Linked DNA regions of Macaca mulatta. The protein of the gene in region 1 interacts with the protein of each later gene in a biochemical or structural test. Links are inferred from orthologs where the notes say so. Each region holds a gene or a part of one and is shown on either strand. Other genes may lie near its edges.

Region 1 (7,432 bases):
TTACCCTATGTTAACTGGTAAACATAGGGTAGCCAGGAGACAGAACTGGTTCTCACCAGATGGAGGTGGCGTGAGGGAGGTGACTGACAGAGGGGAAGGCCCAGGAGGTTATTATAATACAATATCCCTGAGGATAAATATATATATATATAAATTTAAATATATATACATATACATATATATATATTTATTTATTTTTTTGAGACGGAGTCTTGCTCTGTCGCCCAGGCTGGAGTGCAGTGGCATGATCCTGGCTCACTGCAACCTCTGCCTCCTAGGTTCAGGTGATTCTCCTGCCTCAGCCTATTGAGTAACTGGGATTACAGGCACACACCATCATGCCCGGCTAATTTTTGTATTTTTAGTAGAGATGGGGTTTCACCATATTGGTCAGGCTGGTCTTGAACATCTGACCTCGTGATCCATCCGCCTCGGCCTCCCAAAGTGTTGGGATTACAGGTGTGAGCCACTGCGCCTGGCCAAGGATAAATAAGACTCTGTCACCCAGGTTAGAGTGCAGTGGTGTGCTCATGGCTCACTGTAGCCTTGAACTTTCAGGCTCAAGCGATTCTCTCACCTCAGCCTCCTGAGAAGCTAGGACTACAAGCGAGTACCACCATGATTAGATAATTTTTAAAATTTTTTGTAGAGATGGGGTCTCACTATTTTACCCAGGCTGTTCTTGAACTCCTGGTCTCTAATAATCCTATCGCCTCGTCCTCCCAAAGTGCTAAAATTACAAGCATGAGCCACTGTGCCTAGTCTTATTATTTTTACAGTTAAAAAAATCAATGCTCAAATGCATCAAATAACTTGCCTAAGGGGGCTGAACTGGAGTTCTGGGCCAGGCCGGTGAATTATCCTCCCTGTTTCCTTTAAAATTTGGCCTGGGTGCCTCTCCATCTATTACACCTTGAGCCCTGGTAGGCCCTCCCAGAAAGAAGGTCCACAGTGTGCCACATGGGCAGGGGACCAAAGCAGGGGTGGGCGTCCCCAGGCCTGATCTCTAGCTTCTGCCATGTTCCCTGCATCCTGGAGTTAATGAGGGCAAAGGGAGAGGCCACGGGTACAGTAGGGGTTAATTACAGAAGGAGAAACGCCCATGGGAGGGCCTGGCAATAACAGGAGCCCAGGCTGGGGACTAGGATCATATCACAGACAAGCAGTTTCCGCCTCCATAAGTCCCAATGTCTCCTGTGAAAACCTGTAGCTGATGGCAATGATGAGGAGACATCAGGATCTGCTTGTCTATATTTTCTTCCTGTTCCACCCAAAGGACCCTGACTCCATCGTCGTAGTGGAGCCAGGCTGGGACATCAGAGGACCAGACAAGAGTGCACAACTGGGCTCCAGGCAGGCCTCTTGCACAGCTCTCCTAGCAGCAGAGGGATGCAGTGGCTTCACAGCCCCGGTGCACTGCTCTCATTGAGAGACATTTTGTCTGGGCTTATTCTCACCTAGTCCTTAGAACGGGGAGAGAGTCACTCAGAGACTTGGATAACGCTCAGTGCCACATAATCAGCAAGGTTTTTTTTTGAGAAGGAGTTTCATTCTTGTTGTCCAGGCTGGAGTGCAATGCGCATGATCTTGCTCAATGCAACCTCTGTCTCTCAAGTTCAAGTGATTCTCCTGCCTCAGCCTTCCAAGTAGCTGGGATTACAGGGACGCACAATCATGCCCTGCTAATTCTGTATTTTCAGTAGAGATGGGGTTTCATCGTGTTGGTCAGGCTGGTCTTGAACTCCTGATGTCAGGTGATCTACCCGCCTCGGCCTCCCAAAGTGCTAGGATTACAGGTGTGAGCCACCGCGCCTGACCCAGCAAGCTGTTTTTATCAGGTGTTAGTATAAAACCCAGATGATTGTTTATTTGGCTGGGGGACAGTGTTGCAGGGAAGGCAGGATAGGCTAGCATTCCCGCTGTCATTTATTTCCATTCAGGAGTCAGGTCCCTGACCCCCTACTTCATGCCAGGCCCTTGCCTAGGTGTGGGCAGCAGGCAGACTCTGGGGGTCGAGATGCTGACAGTGTCACTGACTCAGCTGGGGCTCACACTGAGGTTTCAGGGTGGGTATGACACCATGCAGTGGTGCGAGGGCAGGGCTGGGAGTGGGGTCTGAGTTGTCCCTCCACCTGGGTCTGTGAAGATGAAGGACAACAGCATCGATGACTTGATGAAGAGCCTGGACAAGAATAGTGACCAGGAGATCGACTTCAAGGAGTACTCGGTGTTCCTGACCACGCTGTGCATGGCCTACAACGACTTCTTCCTAGAGGACAAGAAGTGACCCGGGCTGCCCTCCGCCCTTACCCTCCACCCCTTGCTGCTGACCTTGGCTGCTCCTCTCATGGACCCTCTTTGGCCCCCTGCCCTCCTCTCCCTCCCAGATGGACCCTTCCATGGGAGGAAATAAAGTTTCCATTGCAGGTGCTGGGAGTCTGGTTTTGAAGCTGTCTTGTCTACCTTGGCCTGGGGAGAGGGGAGCACAGGAGGGGTCTCTCCTTGAGTGGGTTGAGACAGCCTCTGCCTCTGGGGTTTAGGGTCCTGGGGTTTCACTGCATTCTTCTCCTTCCTTGGTGTGGATGTCTCATTGGTCTTGTCGTGGCTTAGTTTTGCCTGCCTGGAAAACGGGGAAGTCAGGCCAGGCGGGAACTCTGCAAGGATGCAGAGGAAGCTAAGAGGGAAAGTTGCTTTGAGAGGAGGACACTGGGAGGGGTTGGGAGTGGCAGGCAGGCCTGACTTGTCCATAGCTCACCTGAGGCCACCTTGGCAGCACCTTTAGGAAGGGCAAGTCTGGCCTCCACACCAGCCCCCTCCCTCTTCTCCATTTCCCCTTCAACAGCACCCCTCTCATCTTCTCTGGGGGCCAATGCTTTCTTCTTTCCCTACCTCCTCCATCGAAATCTTTTCACAGGGGAGGGTCTGAAATAACGAATGGTGCTTACAGGGCTGGGTTCCCGCCTGCATGCACACTAACACGAAAGGTGCTGTAGTGAATGGAATTTGGGGCAGTGAGGGGAAGGCGTGGAGATGTGGTAGGAACTTGTTGCTGGTGGGGGATGGGTGCCATAGATATCCTTTAGACTACAGGCTACTTCCCCTATCTCCTTTGGGGTGACCCTGAGTATTCTCTGAGGGACACCGGAATCCTGTGAGGCGCCCTCCTTGCCCACATTGACGCTGCGCTGGCTCGAGGGTCACATTCATGGTCTGGCAGAGGGAGCAGGGGTGACCGCCGCCGTCCGCCTCCTGCTCCCCTTGCCGAGTCACGTGTCACGAAGAGCAAACTGAGCAAAGTGAGCTGCGCAGATGAGGGGAGACTCGTCGTCACCGGGCTTGCAGTGGCATCTGCTGGGCTCCCCCATCCCGTCCTAACCCGGAACAGCCCCGGGCAGGAGGCGTGGAAAGTCGAGGGGAGAAACTGCGAATGTGTGTTGTGTAAGCCAAGGCGCAGGGTGGGGCGCGGGCGGGACTTGGGCGGGTGGGGTGGGCTTGGCCGAGCCTCCGGGGCATCGACCGCTATAAGGCCAGCCGGACTGCGACACAGCCCATCCCCTCGACCGCTCCCGTCGCACTTGGCCGCCTCCCTACCGGTGAGTTCTCGCCAGGAGCCCTGGGTACTTCCCAGGGCCAGCCGTCCTCACGCTGGGGCTCCAGCCATCCCCTGCCCCGTCCAGCTGCTGGATTCAGACTGGGGCCGTCTGTGGCGCTCCCCCGCTGGAGGGATAGTCAGAAGCAGCAGTGCTGTGCCAGGCAGGCCTTGGGCTAAGGGATCCCAATGGGGTGTGCTCTTTTGGGGTGCGGAAGGGAGTGCCCTGGGTGTGTCATTGCCACCACGTGTGGCCCTGTGAGGCTGTGCTTAAGCTGCCTGTGCAGCCTCTATCCCCTTCCCCTGCCCAGCCATACTCCCTAACTTCTGGATCCCCTGAAGGACAGTTCTCAGCTGTGCCCAAAGCTACTGTTCCTATATGCTTCTTAGAATCCTTAAGCCACCTCTCCTGCCTTGACCCTAGTCTTCTCTCTCCTTCCCCTTCAAGTCCTGGGCTGTCTCCTGATGCCATTGTGTGTGGCCTGAGACTGGGTGGTTCCAGAGGGGTCGGGGCTAGTGCAGGCAGCATTATGGGGCGGTGTGGGTGAGAAGTCCTTGCTCCCATGGCACTGACAAGGCCCTCTGCTGCCAGCTCCAAGTCCAGCCCTCAGCCATGGCATGCCCCCTGGATCAGGCCATCGGCCTCCTTGTGGCCATCTTCCACAAGTACTCCGGCAGGGAGGGTGACAAGCACACCCTGAGCAAGAAGGAGCTGAAGGAGCTGATCCAGAAGGAGCTCACCATTGGCTCGGTGAGTGGCCTCCTCTGCAGGACCCCTTTTCCCACCCTTGTCCTTTGGAAGCAGGATTAGGGGAGGGAGAGGTGCCAGGTGCATCTGACTCATATTTACCCACATTCTGAGGCCCTGGTCCACATGTCTTACTGAGCTGTAGACCCACTCTCCCAGAGGGTAGGGGATGCTCCCAGCCTGATATCCATCGCTCCAAATGAGGGCCAGTAACTGAGGAGTAGCTGAGGAGAAGTAATGCCAAAGTGAAACTCAAGGTGGACATAGGTCCTTGATGATGAGGGAGCACAGATCCACTTGCAGAGATGGCTGCCTGGGAGGGGGAAGCGGAAGAATCCAAGATTGTCATCACCACTGAGTCTGGATTTCACATTCTAACACGTTAGAAGCTGCAGGATGCTGAAATTGCAAGGCTGATGGAAGACTTGGACCGGAACAAGGACCAGGAGGTGAACTTCCAGGAGTATGTCACCTTCCTGGGGGCCTTGGCTTTGATCTACAATGAAGCCCTCAAGGGCTGAAAATAAATAGGGAAGATGGAGTCACCCTCTGGGGGTCCTCTCTGAGTCAAATCGAGTGGTGGGTAATTGTACAATAAATTTTTTTTTGGTCAAATTTACCCTTGTGTCCTGGTTTCCGAATTATTTCTGTTCCTCCTTGACTTAGTGGGGCACCAGCCATCGGAAGATTTGCTCATAGTCAACCTCTGAAAATGACTCATTGACTCGCCAGGCCAGGGGACCCACCCTGACAAGGCTCCCTCTAGCACATAAGGTGCCTTTATGTGAATGAGGAGAGATGCCCCTCTTGGCAATGCCATCCTAAGGAAAGCCTCAAGTGGTTTCCAGTAGAGAGTGTCCTGGGATGAGCTTGGAGATGGAAATGGTCCCTGGGCTGGGATGTGATGGAGTTTGGGGGCCTGGAAGTGGGGCAGAGATAGTCCCAGAGGCTCCCAGATGAGTTTTGCTCTGGGTGTGGCAAGAAGGGCCCTGGGGTGGGGCAAGTCCCCTTTCTCACCACAGTGCAGGGGGCAGATAGGACACATCTGAGATGCCTGAGGCTTGGCTGGGGGAGTTTCCTAGACCAGTGAGGACGCTGTGTGACTGAGTCTACTGCGGCTGCACAGGTCCCAGGTGGAGTTGGGGAGGCACACTCTAGGAGTGTGTCCCTGCATTCAGGGATGAGGGCCTTTTTGTTGGAATGGTGGTCTGAGGAGCTGGCAGCTGTACCAACACGTGAACCAGGGGGTGCTCAGTAATGGGGCGGGGTGTCTCTGCAGCCTCAGCATAATGACTCATTCGGCACTTCCACGGGATCCCAGCCTGGATCTCAGCCCCATCAGAGAAGATGACTAATTGAATTACTGTCCATCGTCTGCATTAGTGTTTTCAGGCAGGAGGGAAGAGGGTAAGGAGGGTAAATGCTGTTTCCGGATGATGCCACATCATTCAGCCTCTCTAGGCCTAGTCCGAGCTGGGCAAGTCCACCTCTAGCTCCTGGGGAAGAGATCTTGACTTTAGATGGAGACCACATCCTTCCGTCCCTCTCACCTCCCCCTCTTCCCTTGGGGGTCCAACTTTGTGGAATTAAGTTGTCTTCTGAATCCACTGGGTGGGGATTGGTAAACAGCTGGGAGCCGCACCTTCTTGGAGCCCCTCCTTCTCTATTGCCTCCCCTGTCCTGCAGGGAGAAGTCGCGCTGTTGGCTGCAAGAGACCGGGGACCGAATTCCCCCTCTGCACAGCCGTGCCCAAGCCTTGGCTCTATTCAGCTCCCTCTGGAAAAGTACGCACTCCCCAACCCCTCCCGCGCCCCGCTAGGTTCCCGCCCTACGCCCCTTTCCTCCCCCTTTCTTCCAGTTCCTCGCCGCCTATCTTCCAGTGGCGGACAACTTGGGGCTCGGAGCGAGCGCCCTCCTGTGAGCAGAGAGCAGCAGGCAGCGGGGACAGTCGGGTTAGTTTTCTTGAGCCTCTGGCAGGGGCCTGCCGTAGGTCTGTGGCCTGGCAGTCACCGAGTCCTTAGAAGAGGAAGACAGAATAGGGCGCCCCGGGAACGTCAGGGTAGGTGATCCTTTGGCTCCCGGCAATCAGCCCTAGAATTAAGCAACTTAGCTTCACAATCGACACACCTACCACAAGTAAGTCCATGAGGGAAAGGCAGTCCCTTTGTAAAGACAAATGGAATCTGAACCTGAACCCTGCGCCTCCCCTCCCCCACCTGCAACTCTTCTGCAAGGCTGGAAGACCTTCGTACAAATAAATGCTGCCTGCGGAGAGGGAAGAGGAAGCCCGCTGCTGCGGGGAGGGGATGCTCAGGCAAGGCAGTCCGCCCGGCGTTCCTGGGGAGCTCTGGTGGGTGGGCAGGCCACCGGTGCAGGGGAATCAACACAGGTGCACGGTCCACCTGCTAAGTAAACAGGCGTGTCCTTTCGCTTCTGCTTCTCCACAGTGGTGGAGGGGAACGGGAACATGGATTTCAAGAATAAGACAAAAAACAAAACAAACAGCAAATCTTTAGGGGTATAATTTTTAAGTTTTTTTTTTTTTTGGCAGGGGAGGGGAGGGAAGCAGTATTTACAATGGAATATGGTAGGTGCAGCAGTCAAATGGTGGAATTGGGTGTGGAGAGGTGCACAGACTGGACATTTTATTGCTCCAACCAACTTAAAGTTGGAATTGAATCCTTTTAGCTCACTGTTGAGTATGGTGTGGGCTTATAGGATGGGGAAAAGTTAGGATGTGAGCTGAGGGCTTCGTGAGAGGTCACTTTACTTTTCTGAAGGTTGAGCAGTGGGAGTGGCTCTACATCTCTCCACTTCCTTCAGCTGAGGTCAGCCCATTACTGACATTAATCCTACAATCTAACCACCCTAACGCCGGTGAAGCTGCAACAGCAGCACCACAGACCATCTCTGTAAGCTGGGGCGGGCCCCAGGTAAGGGGGTTTAGGACTGAGTTACAGGAAGTGGCTCTCTGTTTTTTGCCAAGCAAATAGGAAATTGTCAAGAATAATGCCACCATCTTTGTATAAGACCACACTTGTATAGCAACTTCGTTTTCATGAGGTGCCTGTCATAGCCATTGCGTCTGGTCATCT
Region 2 (7,622 bases), about 81 Mb from region 1:
GAATCCTCTCAATACATTGTTTGCTTTGGGTTGTGGTGGGGTTTTTCTTGTCCTATAAACATTTTTATGTAGTTAAAACTGATCAAATTTTGTTTCTTCTAGGTTTTAAGTCACATATAATGTAGTTTTCCCCCATTTTCTTCTAGTATTTGTATGCTTTCATTTTTTTTTTTTTTTTTTTTTTTTGAGACGGAGTCTCGCTCTATCGCCCAGGCTGGAGTGCAGTGGCCTGATCTCAGCTCACTGCAAGCTCCACCTCCCGGGCTTACGCCATTCTCCTGCCTCAGCCTCCCGAGTAGCTGGGATTACAGATGCCCACAACCTCTCTCGGCTAGTTTTTTGTATTTTTTAGTAGAGACAGGATTTCACCGTGTTAGCCAGGATGGTCTCCATCTCCTGACCTCGTGATCCGCCCATCTCGGCCTCCCAAAGTGCTGGGATTACAGGCTTGAGCCACCGTGCCCGGCCCATATGTTTTCATTTTTACAATTAGATCTTCAGTCTGCCTGGAATGTATCTATATGCCTATTTTCAGTTATCTTACCATCATTAAAAACCAATCTTTATCCCACTTTTACCATATTCTGTAACTTTCATATGCATTGTGTCTGCTATTCTGTTCATGTATCAACACCAATTACAGAGGCATAATGTGTTTCAGTATTTACTTACAGCTATCCTATACATAAGCTGTTGCTGTATTGTAAATCCTACCACTTTTTCCAAATTCCCATATTAATTGTGGCTTTAGTTTACCCTTTTGGATTTTTCCTGTGTGTCTAATGGCTTTTTTTTTTTTTTAAATGAGACAGGCTCTCAATCTGTTACCCAAGCTGGAGTACAGTGGCATGATCATAGCTCACTGCAGCTTTAAACTCCTGGGTTCAAGTGATCCTCCAGCTTTAGCTTCCTGAGTAGCTGGGATTATGGGCACCAGCCTCCATGCCTGGCTTCAATTGCTTTCTCTGATCTAACTGTGTTGGTTAATACCTCCAATAAAATATAGTAATGGAGATCACAGGCACTGGTCCTGACTTCAGGGGCAATAGGAATAATTCCTACTAGAAGCCTCATTTTTCTGACATACTCCTAGGCAAATAAATCATAAAACTGTTCTAATGAAGAAAAACTTAACTTTATTGAGCATAGGAATAGACGGGCTTTCAGATTATTTTTTGCTTTATGGTTATTACTTTCATAAACCATCTGATCCACGGCAAAACTAACTGGTACCATACAAAGATGTGTGTCTATTATTGTCATGTTTAGATTTAGTTTCTATTCTATATTCATTGACAAACATATTTCAATCTAGATAGAAACACCTGTGATTGAATTAGTGCATGGTAATGCATGGCATACACATTGCTTAAGGTGGTAATAAGGGGTCAGATGCTCTACAGCAACCTTCAAGCACAGGTACCGATCTGCATTTTATGCAAAACTTCAGGTTTTACTCAATTTTTACACTGGTGGAAGCTGATGTCAGTAACTTAAAGGCAAGCAAATACTTTTCCAATTCTTAGCTGAACAAAAAATACACACAATGTAGCGTTTTTATTGGGCAAGACTTGCTTTTTATATTTCACATGAGAATGCAATTATAACCCTTCCTTGAACAAAATGACCAAGGTACTAATAAAACCATCTTTGCAGGAGTGTTTAATAAGCATATTTTATTTAAATAAATCCTCCAGTAGGAAATGGAGAATTCACTGCCTTTACTTAGAAGGCTATGTAAATAGCTATCTGTCAAATTTATATATGCAGCTCACCAATATTCCCTTACTGGAAACATCAGTATTTCCACATCACATCACAGTTCCCAAAAGGACCTCAAAGTCTCAAAATTCCGTGTCTCCTTTGGCTTGCTTCTCTCTTGATTCCACCCAGGCTTTATTAATGGTTCTCTTCATATCATCATCTCCATCTTCATAAATTTTCTTTAGAACATTCATCAATCCCTCACTAGGATCTGTTTCAGTGTCATAGGAGGGCTTCCTTTAAAAAGAAAATATATACAACAATGGAGAAATGAAGGCACGGGGGAAGATACTATAATTCAGGTTGTTAACATTGGCAGGAAGTAGAGGGATAAGAGGGAAGACAGTGTATCCAAAGATATTCACAATCAAAATGGCACGCCTAAGTTCATCTTAATGAAAACACCACACACCTACCAAGCATGCACACACTTGGTGCATGAAAGAGGTCATCAAAATAGTAAGGGGCTGTTTTTAGGCACAGGGATTTCCCATGTTTTTTTTTTTTTTTTTTTTTTTTTGAGACGGAGTCTCGCTCTGTCACCCAGGCTGGAGTGCAGTGGTGCGATCTTGGCTCACTGCAACCTCCGCCTCCCAGGTTCAAGCAATTCTGTCTGCCTCAGCATCCCAAGTAGCTGGGATTACAGGCACGTGCCACCATGTCCGGCTAATTTTTGTATTTTTAGTAGAGATGGAGTTTCACCATGTCAGCCAGGCTGGTCTCAAACTCCTGACCTCAGGTGATCCACCGCCTCGGCCTCCCAAAATGCTAGGATTACAGGCATGAGCCACCCCGCCTGGCCTCATTTTTAACAGGTAAAATAAGTAAGGATTTGGGAGGTCGAGACGGGCGGATCACTACGTCAGGAGATCGAGACCATTCTGGCTAACACAGTGAAACCCCGTCTCTACTAAAAAATACAAAAAACTAGCTGGGCAAGGTGGCAGGCGCCTGTAGTCCCAGCTACTCGGGAGGCTGAGGCAGGAGAATGGTATGAACCCGGGAGGCGGAGCTTGCAGTGAGCTGAGATCCGGCCACTGCACTCCAGCCTGGGCAACAGAGCCAGACTCTGTCTCAAAAAAAAAAAAAAAAAAGTAAAGATTTGATTTTCTAACTTGTTTTCATTTTTTAAAAGCATGTTTCCTCATAATTTGGAAAAAAAAAATTGAGGGAAAATCACAAACATTACACATGGATGTACCCTGAAGCTCATGTATTTTATAATTAGAAAAGCTCTCCTCTTAAGCCTGAGATACACAGATCTGGACCTGAGTCTTGAATTAGTCAGTACCTCTAGAAGATGAACTGACCTAGAATGCAAGTATCATTGAATAAACATTTTTAAAAGGTCATTATTAAGGAGGATAAAAATATTTTATCTTTTTCACTCTAAACCAGTGACAATGAAAACAACTACGTATCACAAACATCTGAGAAATTTAAAACATACAGGGGTATCTGAGCCTCTCTCGAACTACTGAAACAGAGTATCTGGGAATAGGCACAGTATTTGTATAGAAGTGCCTAGGGTTAACAACCACACTAAAGAGCCAACTGTTAACTACAAAGACCTTAAAAAGCAACTTGCTGGACGCGCCCTCTTCAGGTAGTTTCTGACAGTTGAAAGCAGAAATATATTATCCATAAAGACAAACTTAAAAATCTATGATCTGAAACAATACACTAAAATTCTTTAAAAAATGAAAGTAGACTCACTCTTTTTCTTTGCACTCTTTTTCAACCTGGGTCAGGTAATCCCACCTTGTGTTTTCCACTTTCTTTCTACACAATATAAGAACTGTATCAGTCTTGACCTGGAAGAAAAGCGGGAAAACAAATACAGCTTAGAAGACAAAACAATTATTTAATTAATCAAGTCCCTAGTATGTATAGACTTATTTGGGGTGCTAGTAATACTTGTATGAATAGGCCAAAATCTGAACATTCATGGCGTGAAAAGACCGTAAATAAGTAAAACTTGAATACCGTCATATCCTAGAAAGTGCTGGCAAGACAAAGCAGGTGTTAATGGGGGTGGGAGCAGGAACTTCATTAGGAAGGCCTCCCTGAGGCAAAATCTGAGCTGAAGCTTAAGGTCAGGAGAAGGCAGCTGGCAGAGCCATGTAGAATGGCTCCAAGATGGGATGATCTTCGTGTGTTTGAGGAGCAGGAGGAGTGGCTGGATTTTAGTGACTGAGAGAGATAGTAATATAATAAGAGGGGTCGAGGATAGGCAAGAAACCAAGTCACATAAGGCAGTATGGAGCAAGGTGAGGCATTTGGAAAGTGTGAAAGAAGGGCAATGAATGTACAGGTCTTTAAACAATGATCAACACGACTTCTAGGGATCTTTTGGTACTCTACGTACGGGACTAGTGGATGCGGAAGGGTGCAGGAATACAGCAAATCCAACTATATTTGAGTATCACCTGTAAGCTGTTAAGTAATTATGTATTATAAAAACAGATGGCAGAATGGCATATGTATATACCTAATGCATTAAACTTCATTTATTCAAATTAGGCAGAAAAGAGGGACTATCTGATTTAGTAAAAATTATAAAGAGTAGTTTTTAAAAGACAGTTTCCTTATTTTTATAGCTGTTTCTAACTCCAAGGAGGCTAAGTGCTTAAGACCTCCTTTTATGTATATGAGTATTATGCACAATGCCAACACTACCATTAATTTAAGCACTTTACATATGGTATTGCACTTCAGTGTATCATTTCAACTTTGTGAAATACATTATTACTATTGCATAAATGCAGAAACTGAGGCACAGAGTGATTAAGCTGCCAAAGGTCACAAACAATAAGCGGTAAACCTGGCATAAAACTCAAGTCTCACTCTTAACTACCTTCAAACGTTTACTTCCTTCCTGATTTTAATGGAATATTCTTACAACAGCCTATTCTTCTACAAAAGGAGTTGGCAAATGTTCTCTGTCAAGGACCACACAGTAAATATTTAGGTTTCACTTAGGGCCATGTGGTCTGCTGCAGCCATTTAACTCTGCCATTGTAGCACAAAAGCAGCCACAAACAACACACAAACAAATAAGCCTGGCTATGTCCCAATGAAACATTCACTAAACAGGCAGTGGTCCCTGTTACAGGACAAATTCATTCCAGTTCATCTCAATTCTAAATCAGCTAGGTTCAATCTGGTAAGGTTTCAGAATATTACGACCAAAAAAAGCACTCACTTTTTTTGAACTGCCTTCCACAGAGATGGGTTTCAAGAGATTGTTCACAATCATGGAGTAACTCTTCCCATTTAGATTCTTTACCAAAAGATCGAATGACCTGCAACACAATGGTGAATACATCATCTTTCTAGTTCTATGAAAGGTACTCTTACTCCATCAGAGTGGAAAAAAAGCTGCTAGCTTTATTTCAGGGTGTGCATTTGGCCAGTTAATGCTCACCTCTTGAAAGTAGTTGTAAAGGATAATTAATTCTAAATTTAAGAAGAATTTTAAAAACTGCAAAGAAAAGAGTCTCAAGATAAGGCAATGTTGACTGTTAATGATCATCGTCTTTCCCAATATAATGAGAACTCACCTCTCTGTGAAATGCACCTGCACATTCTCAGTGGGAACTTGATGCACTCCACTCAAGGTAATGTAGATTTTCACAAACTTATCTGACTGATCCCATCCTGGCAACGACAACAAAAGATGGGACATAAGTAAGTCTCTGAAACTATCTCTAGAACAGCAAATGCACATGGCTCATAACTCAGGAAAGTAAAATTATGAAAATCCAGTCATACAAAAATTTGAAACCCAAGAAATTTTCTAGGTTGAGAAATGGAGCCTCAAAGCAGTTAAGTACTCTACCCAAAGTTAGGCATCTAACAAGTGATAGAATTCAGATTCAAATCCAGGTTTCTGAATACAAAGCCTATGCTCTTTTTATCCTTCAGAATAAAAATACGATCACTAAATACATTCTTTAAGATTAGTTCGGCCGGGCGCGGTGGCTCAAGCCTGTAATCCCAGCACTTTGGGAGGCCGAGATGGGCGGATCACGAGGTCAGGAGATCGAGACCATCCTGGCTAACACGGTGAAACCCCGTCTCTACTAAGAAATACAAAAAATAGCCGGGCGAGGTGGCAGCGCCTGTAGTCCCAGCTACTCGGGAGGCTGAGGCCGGAGAATGGCGTGAACCCGGGAGGCGGAGCTTGCAGTGAGCTGAGATCCGGCCACTGCACTCCAGCCTGGGCTACAGAGCGAGACTCTGTCTCAAAAAAAAAAAAAAAGATTAGTTCATTTACTGCTTTTATGGAAACAATTTTGTCCTACATCTAAATATCGGTAGTTCTCCACTAAGCTGGATGGCTAAGTATCAATACTGTCTAATTCCATAACCATTTCTACTTCTCTAAGTAGTATAACAAATGGAATCCTAGCGCTCTTAATTCCTTTCCAGGGCAAAACAGAATGTAAACGACTCCAATTCTTCATCCAAATCTGACAAACCTACTGGTATCTATTAAATGCCATTTCAGTATGTATTATCAACCTACCAGCAAGTCTCTAACCTAGAAGAACTCTGTCAACATACAAGACATATACGCTTCACAAAATACCATCGTATTTGTAGAAAATAAAAAACTTCACAAAAAGCATCTTCTGTTTATCAAGAATATATACATACATATCCCTGACTCTTCCTCACTTAGTCCTACGGAATAGAAACATGCCCCATCCTCCATGACATGTTTTCACACTGCATGCCTGTATCAAAACATCTCATGTACCCCATAAATACATACACCTACTATGTACCCACGAAAATTAAAAAGAAACATAGTGTTGATCAAAAAAATGCCCTAGAGGGTTCCAGAGAACTTCATTTATTAATAGTTTCTTCCCAGTCAGTCCATCCTCCGGTTTGACAAGTTTCTCCCTCAACACAAATCTATGTTCCTGGTTAAAATGCCATAATCCTAAACACCTTCAGACCAGTTTCCCATACTCAACTGAGTACACGGTGCAATTTCATGTAGTACTATATAGTACATCACTTAAGCACGACATACACATGCTTTTCACTATAACAATACTCAAAATAGATCATGCCTTCCAAGTCTCTATTCATGTCCTCTGCTCATGCTGTTCCCTTCCTTTTGCTGAACGTACAGCTCACCCTTCACACTCATCTAATTCTCCCTGTTCCTCACCTCCAGAATTATTTCCTCAGCTATGTTACCTATTATGTGCTAGACATTATTAGCACAAAGAAAAACCAGACTGTCCTTGCTCCAATGAGAGCTCATCACTCTCACTGAAGTTGCACTGCCGCCAAAACAAAAACACTATATACACCACTGAAGGAAAACAGTATTAGTTTTTGCTAATACTGTTTTGCTAATACATTGTTATGCTATGAGTTATACGTCTATGTCCCAACCACACCATGAGAAAGGATTGGGTCTTAGTCACTGTTGTGTATCCGTAAGTCCAAGCACAATAGTGATATACATTAGGTGCTCAAAAATATTTCCTGAATTTAACTGGATTCCTCTCCTCAGTTAATTGTAGTGGTTGGCAGAGTGAAACATAAAACATGATTAAAAACCACCACCACCACCAAAGCGGTGCCTCATATATACTGAATAATTTCAGAATAAGTTCCTTCCTTGTTGCTACTCCTCATCTTTGTAGTAAATCACCTTATTCTTGTTAACAGCTTCTAGAATGTATCCTTTCCTATTTCTATCTAAAGAAAGTTTTATTAAATAAAAACTGATGGGTCTTCCTCCAAGCCACCGAAAACACAGCCTCAAAACTCATTTAAAGATGAATTTGTTAGATCACTATGAGGAATAGGTTGCTCGGAGGCAAAACTGG
Region 3 (7,622 bases), on another chromosome or scaffold:
TACTTCCATAGGAATGAACGTACTTACATGGCAGGCTTACCAACTTCTGCTCCATAGAACAGAACTGAACACATCTCACAATTTTTCTTTCAATAAGTCTGTTTCCCCATTAGACTGAATTCTCTGAGGCCTGGACCATGTACTACCAGCATCTAGCAAATGGCTCTGCCTCTGCACAAATTTTTCTATCTGAACTGAAATATCTTCCCTTCTCTCTTATACATCTACTTAACCATGAAGCTTCTGCACAGAAGTCACTTCTTATAAAAGGTCTTCCCTGAATGCCAAGACTGGACAAAGGTAACCTACTAGCCATTTCCATACAAATATATACTGACCCTTTTACACTCAAAATTATCTGTAGATGCCCGTTTAATGTTCATATTCCTGACCAGAATTCAAACTCCATGAAGACAGAGGTTCATGAGGACATGATGGCTGTTGCTGTAGCCATCTCTCGTATAGGGTGTAATCCTGAACACGTAAAAGCCATTCAAACACCTGCTGAATGAGCAGCGGCAGGAAGGTGTTCAGCGTAGGCAGACTGAGTCACTTCTTTTACAACCTTACCCTAAAAATAATCACTTTAAAACGATCAACACAAAAACTGGAAATCTAGTTACCTAATCCAAGTGATCCAATTTTATCACTGATCAATTTCAGATCTTTCAAAACCGTATTTCCCCTTTTACCTGTGAACAGGAAAAAATACTAGCATTAGAGTGACTTTTAGAATACAACAGTCTCTAAACCACATCAATTTTTGTTGTTGTTCAATATGGGGGCTTCTTTATGACAGGAGCATAATAACCTAAAACTAAGGAAAAAATAAACTGTGATTAATGAATGCTTAAACTATGCATTACAACCCTTTTTTTGAGATGGAGTCTCACTCTGTCACTCAAGCTGGAGTGCAATGGCGCAGCCTCGGCTCACTGCAACCTCCGCCTCCCAGGTTCAAGCGATTCTCCCGCCTCAGCCTCCTAAGTAGCTAGGACTACAGGCACGTGCTACCACACCCGACTAATTTTTGTATTTTTAGTAGAGACAGGGTTTCCCTATGTTAGATAGGCTGGTTTCAAACTCCTGACCTTGTGATCCACCCGCCTTGGCGTCCCAAAGTGCTAGGTTTAAAGGCATGAGCCACTGCGCCCGGCTACAACCCTTTTTAAACCATAAACAATACTACTTTATTGGAACACAACCACCAAAAAATATTTTTGCCTAATTATAAGACATCACTTTCCATAAACAGCCCTGTTAGGTATGAATTCATAGACTACTGTTAATTATTTTCGTGAATCTTATTTTTCCTTTGAACTTCTAAATTTTTCTTCAATGCAACTGCTATTTCATTTACTAAAGTGACAATCCTCACTGGTTTTTGGTCCTTCGTTCTCAACGTCCTCTCTAAATGATCATTCTCTAATCAGTGTCAGAATGACACGTTCATGATGTCCTGGATTCCTTTCTTAAAGGTGGCAGTAACCACAGGAAAGAAGCAAATGGGAAGGGATACGAACCTTATAAATACATGGCTGGTTTAAGAGAAGAAAGAGGTCGGCTCTCTTATGTGCCCTAGGAAGTCCCACAGTATATCAAGCAATACAAAAAGATTCGGAAGTACTGGACAATTATGCAAAACTCATACTGCAAATTCCTAGTGAATCTACTTTTGGAAACTTTCCAAAAGAGGTACACGAAGCTCTGAAACACTATGCTAATTAAATACAACATTTACTATTATATGGTTTCCAAAGGACCTCTGCCCATCCTACCTGTTCAGGGCTATGCTGTTTAAATTCCTATCACTGTGTGGGGAGAGGTGGGAAAGTAACTAGTGCCAGAGCTAGACTATTCCACATGTAATCAGTGCTCTTTAGCTCTGCTGCATTTACGATGACATGTCAGGTCATTCTTGAAAATGATCTGCAGAATAATTTTTTATTTAACATTTTATGATACTTACTGTGGTATCACTAAACAAATTTTTTAAAATTAATTGAAAGCAAATCCGACTCAAGTCACTGTAAATGTCCAAAAAAGGAGAGATGATTTAAAAATTATATTTCTATAGATAATACAAATCAGCTAAAAAATCAACTAAAAAGTATTCCGATGGTATGTAGGTATAGGAAGGGGCAGAATACAAAACAACATATAAAATATGACCACATAAGAAGTAACAAAATATTAACAGGAAAGATTTCTGAGTGATAAAATTATAGGTTATTTTAGTGATTTTCCTGGAAAAAAAAAATCAACAATAATCATATAGTGCTTAATTAGAGAAAAAATATCCCGAGTATTCAAGCCCACATCTTTGGGCACTTACTCTCAGAGTCTTTTAAGGAAGGGGCCCCCGCCAGGGAGCTGAGTCCACTTTTTAAGGGGGGTGCATCCGAGAGCGAGGCCAGGCTTCCTGGTTGCTTCCTAGGTTCACTCCTCCTAGCAAGAAACAAGGACAGTTAATCGGTGCTCTTATGTTCTGCCACTAAACACTTTTATCCTGCCACTGAAACAAAAGCAACTTAAAAGATACTTTATATGCACAGTGGCTGGAAATCAAGAATATAGACTTTAAAAATTCAAAACCATAAAGTATACCAAGGGAGTGCAAACTACAGATCAACCACAATCAGCACAGCCAGGGTGTAAGAAATCAGCTCACCTCTCTTTAGAATTCTGTTTGATAATCTTATAAACTAAATTGACCTCTGCACTGTGATTTTTTCCAGAAGCCCTTTTCCATCACCCAGACATGCAGCCAAGGGACAATACAGGAGTTTACTAGCAAATAAGTGCCACCTCACAGATTAAATATTGTTTACAGAAACCACAAACAGCCATGCTGATGAACTCCCCTTAAAGTCATGACCACTAACCTCAAGGGTACCTTTAACACTGCCCAACACCCCCCAGGTTTCCACAGTCCCTTCTCGCCTTACTTTGTTATAGAAAGATTTCACACTTTCTCCGCTCTCTTCAAATCGCAACCTCCGTCCTCCATCCTCATGCAACTATGAACTACGGTGACAGCTTGCACAGGTGCCACCATCATATCCACCCCCTGCCTACAACGGGACCCACACGCTCTCCACTTTTCCAGCAAACACAAGCCCCTGCATGGGATTCCATTGCTGTGCAGGCCTCCAGGAGTTCTCCTCTCACTCCCTTACATCATTAATTCTTCCATCTTTAAAGCTGAGCAGTGTTCGTCTGCATACATGCTGTTCTTTCTCCCACCTAAACACGCTTTTCAGCCCTAAATCCTACCCCACCAGCCACCACCCTGTTCCTCTGCACACTTTTACAACTCATCAGAAAACTATCTGTCATCTACAATCCTTTCCTGTCTTGAATGTACTCTAATTCTCTCACCTGCCTCACACCCCCATTCCAACAAAACTGTGTCAAGGTCATCACTGACCTCCAGATGGCTAAATCCAATGGCATCATACAGCTACTCCTCCCTACCGCCACCTCCAAAGACACCACTCTCCTGGTTCCATCTCCTCCACTGCTTCCAGCTCCCTACTCTGGCCTCAAGGTGTGCAGGACCTGCTTCCTTGGTGATCCTCTGTAGTCTCCCACACCCACATTATCTACAAACTGAAGACTCCTAATTTACATCTGCAGCCTAGACCTCTCCCAATCCCAACTCACATACCCAATCGCCTACTTCGGATTTCCACTAGCAATCTTCTCTAACTTAGCACAGCGACAGGGGCCTCCAGGCTTTCATGCCACCTGTCTGTGCAATCCACTCTTCCTCTTGCCATTCTTCATCTAATGGGTTTCCAACCTTCTAGTTTTGCAGGCTAAAAACCATGATGCCACTCTGGATATTACTTTTTTCTCTAGCACTTACTGGCAAATCCTTTTCCATCTAACCTCAAAATACTTCTAAAACCCACCTGTTTCTCCCCACCACTTCTATCACTTCTCACCTGAATAATCATTAATGGCCTCCTACCTGGAAACTCCAAGTCCAACCTTCCTCAGCAACCCTGGGATCCTTCTGTAATGGACGCTAGATCAAGACCCTCAGGGCTTCCAGTCTCAAAGGAAAGCCATCCAGCCTCTCATCTCTGAGTCCACCTCATCTGATCCCCATCTTGCTCTCTCTGCTACGTCCCCACTCACCTCTCTGCTGTCTGCTGTTTCCTCTCCCCAGAGCTCCATCAACCCATGGCAACTCCCTCATCTCCTCTAGTTCTTTGCTTACTGGGCAGCTCCAAGTGAGGCCCCCTCCAATTTGGACAGCTGACATGCACCTGCCCTGACCACACACTTCGGCTTCCATCACTGTTCTGCTCTCATCACCCAACACACCGCAGCATAACCCTCATTGCCTGACTCCGTTGCCAGAGCGGGAGCTTCCTGAGGGCAGGAGTCTTCCTCTTCTATCATTGCTGTACCCCACCCTGGAACAGCCCTGGCAAGTGGCTGACAATCTACACTTACCTGTTAGAATAAATCATGTCTAGGTTTTTCTAAAACCTGGGGTTGTTTTACAACATCAAAGGCATTAACAATGCATAATCAGATTTATGGATCCAATAATTATAAACCATCCATAGTTCATTATTTTTTAACTACAAAATGAAAACATTTATTTTTAAACCCCCAGTCTCACAGTTCAAAAACTATTTACTCACAAACCATAAGTTTTCTCTGGCTTGGGAATGGGATCATCAAAGAAAGAATCTCCTTCCATATCATCTTCATCTGGACAAAGGCCGGCTTTGTCTTTGCCATCTAAAGTTTTGTTGCTTAGAAAAGATCCAATCTTTGTTTCATGGGACAGTAAGTGAAGGCTGCTTTTGCTCTTGGGTTCTGACAGAGAGACACTTGTATCACTCTGATTGGCCTCATTGTTGGCTTTCTAGAAAGAAAGAGAAAAGGCCTCCTTGGTGAGATAAAACTTTAAGATATTTTAAATAATAAAAGAAGTCGCATGAGCATAAGGAAACCTGTGTTTGTGTGTGTGCAACCTCTGTGTGTGTGTGGGGGGGGGGGGGCGGCTCCCAGCAGTGTGAACTGCAGACCAATGCCATGATTCATCACTCCATCCCCAGGATTCCTAACATGGCAAACTTTCAAAGGTGGAAAAATATTAGAGAAATATATTAATACCATTCCTTTCCTCTTTCCCTAAATGGAAATAGCTTTAGTATACCTATCCCATTTATAAACACTTTCCCATTGAGAAACAATTTCCCATCTCCTCTTCCATATGTCATTGCTTTATAAATTACCTTAATACATTTTTCAACTTGAAAACAGGAGAGACCACTACTATTAAAGGAGAAAAGAAAGATTACATATGAATGAACCAAGCATTAAAGTAGTCATTCGTAAAAATAGCCATTTTCCATCCAGTGCTAAACACAACAGGCATCAAGGTGAAAGACACTGCCTTCAACCACTCAAACATAAACATTTGCTAATTAAAATAATTATCTCAATTCTGACTTCCAGGGTAACTTCCTAACCTATACTTATTTTGATGTCCATGGACATATATATCTATGTGTGTGTACGTGTATATTTCTCTACATATCTTAACACAACGTTATAAAAAAAATTCTGAATCATCCTTATCCATGCCCTTGGATATAGAGTGATGTTACCACTTTTCTTTTCTTATTTTCAGGGAGTCCTAACCTTCACGGCTGACTTTCACGCCATTCTTGGTCAGATTTCTTTCTGCCCTTAGACGGGTCTATGTTAACAATAATAATGAAAAAATAAATAATGCTAGTAATAATAAAAAGTAGTAATAATAAAAAGCAGCTAACATTTATGGTGAACATTCAAATGCTTCACCTTATCTCATTTAATCTTCAAAATGGCCCTATGATCTGGAGATAGCTTTATCTCTGTGGATATAAATAAGGAAACACAGAGACAGACATTTATGTCACTTGTCAAAGTCTCCAGTTAGTTAAGTGGTAAGGTCAATATCAAAGTCAAAGCCTGATTCCAGAGGTTAACTCAATATTTATGCTATTCGGCTAAATTATAATGAATTTGTGGGCTTTATGGGTTAAAAATGGCAATTTCCCAAAAGTCAGCCTTGTGTACTAAAGAGAGCAGTATTGTGTAAAATACCTGGAGTACTAGAAAAAGCACTCAACTGAAACAAAGAATCTGGAATGTAGTCCAAAATTATTAACTGCATTTTTTTTTTTTAAAGAAACAGGGTCTCACTATGTCACCCAGGCTGATCTTAAAACTCCTGGGCTCAAGCAATCCTCCTGCCTCAGTCTCCCAAGTAGCTGAGTTTATGAGATTACAGGCACAAACTACACCCAGTCGTATAATTTTTTTTTTTTTTTTTTTTTTTTGAGACAGAGTCTCGCTCTGTCACCCAGGCTAGAGTACAGTGGGGTGATCTGGGCTAAATGCGCTAACTGCAACCTCTGCCTGCCATGTTCAAGCAATTCTCCTGCCTCAGCCTCCTAAGTAGCTGGGATTTCAGGCGTGTGCTACTACGCTCGGCTAATTTTTGTATTTTTAGTAGAAATGGGGTTTCGACGTGTTGGCCCGGCTGGTCTCGAACTCCTGACCTCAAGTGATTCACTCGCCTTGGCCTCTCAAAGTGCTGGGATTATAGGTATGAGCCGTGAGCCACCGTGCCCGGCCCATATAATCTTAAGTAAATTAATTTCCTAGGCATGAGTTTCCTCAAGAATTGAACTAGATTCGTATTTTTCAGACCAAATTATATCTAGGAGTTAAGAAAGAAGGGATGGATGGCTGAGAAAGAATTAAAGAGTAGTAACTACTGAAGCATGGTGACCAAAGTTTGGGTTAGACATCATCAAACAAGATGCTCTTGAAGGATGGTTTCACTTTTCATATGGGTACAGACAGAATGCATTATGCATGTCTTATGATATACGTTTACATCTTTACACCAGGTAGAGGTCTTGACTAGTTGACAGTAGGCAAGATACATGCTGTGCAAATTTAGTGCCTTCTAGAGAGCTATACATTCCATTTTATTAATATAAATTAATGATTATAAAGAGATGTCTGAAAAAATAAATACCAAGTTATAATTTTAGACAACATATTTTCAAAGAGGCAGAAACTTTCAAAAATTTCCTAACAACTTTCTTGACGTTTTCCTGGTATTATCAAATATCGAAAAGTATGTAATTCACACCAGTTGTAATTTCTGATTTTTACATTAATAATGGATTTATTTAAAAGAATATGCATTTGGAAATAAATACCCTGATGTGACATTTAAACATATGTACAATGACAGAGCCTATGGCCATGACAGATTCCCCTTCTAAACACTCATGAGAAAGTACCAAAGAATAACTGGCATGAAAGAAACTGAAAAATGTAAATGTAAAGCAACATTATGAGAAACAATAATTATGCTGATTTCCCCAAGAATTCACACTGCCAACGTAACTTAAATCCACATAATGAACTATCTAATATCAAAGCTGAACAACTAATAGGTATCCATGATTATTTTTTGACAGGTTTGACCAATATTCCTGCTATGGACAGAAAGACCAGTTTTAGGAAGACAAGTTTTACAGAGAATTACTATATTACACAACACATACTTGTAAACATAACATAATTATTTT

What was found. The genes of interacting proteins can lie anywhere in the genome.
Region 2: the proteins of S100A6 (region 1) and CACYBP are reported together in a solved structure, tested with the Homo sapiens proteins (2 studies listed by BioGRID and IntAct, with this or other methods). The link is inferred for Macaca mulatta from reciprocal best matches to the Homo sapiens genes S100A6 and CACYBP.
Region 3: the proteins of S100A6 (region 1) and CEP43 form a complex in vitro, tested with the Homo sapiens proteins (2 studies listed by BioGRID and IntAct, with this or other methods). The link is inferred for Macaca mulatta from reciprocal best matches to the Homo sapiens genes S100A6 and CEP43.

The regions. Positions count from the first base shown.
Region 1 is NC_133406.1:113,504,912-113,512,343, forward strand, and holds S100A6 (protein S100-A6), read left to right. Parts: upstream 1-3,475; 5' UTR 3,476-3,593; exon of another isoform or gene 3,594-3,753; intron 3,754-4,181; 5' UTR 4,182-4,202; coding exon 4,203-4,340; intron 4,341-4,723; coding exon 4,724-4,858; 3' UTR 4,859-4,942; downstream 4,943-7,432. Other genes in the region: S100A5 (protein S100-A5), read left to right, coding at 2,147-2,287. UniProt on the Homo sapiens protein: May function as calcium sensor and modulator, contributing to cellular calcium signaling.
Region 2 is NC_133406.1:32,462,823-32,470,444, reverse strand, and holds the end of CACYBP (calcyclin-binding protein), read right to left. Parts: intron 5,425-7,622; coding exon 5,328-5,424; intron 5,070-5,327; coding exon 4,970-5,069; intron 3,579-4,969; coding exon 3,481-3,578; intron 2,002-3,480; coding exon 1,845-2,001; 3' UTR 1,158-1,844; downstream 1-1,157. UniProt on the Homo sapiens protein: May be involved in calcium-dependent ubiquitination and subsequent proteasomal degradation of target proteins. Probably serves as a molecular bridge in ubiquitin E3 complexes. Participates in the ubiquitin-mediated degradation of beta-catenin (CTNNB1).
Region 3 is NC_133409.1:5,062,145-5,069,766, forward strand, and holds part of CEP43 (centrosomal protein 43), read right to left. Parts: intron 4,889-7,622; coding exon 4,662-4,888; intron 2,449-4,661; coding exon 2,336-2,448; intron 693-2,335; coding exon 624-692; intron 1-623. UniProt on the Homo sapiens protein: Required for anchoring microtubules to the centrosomes. Required for ciliation.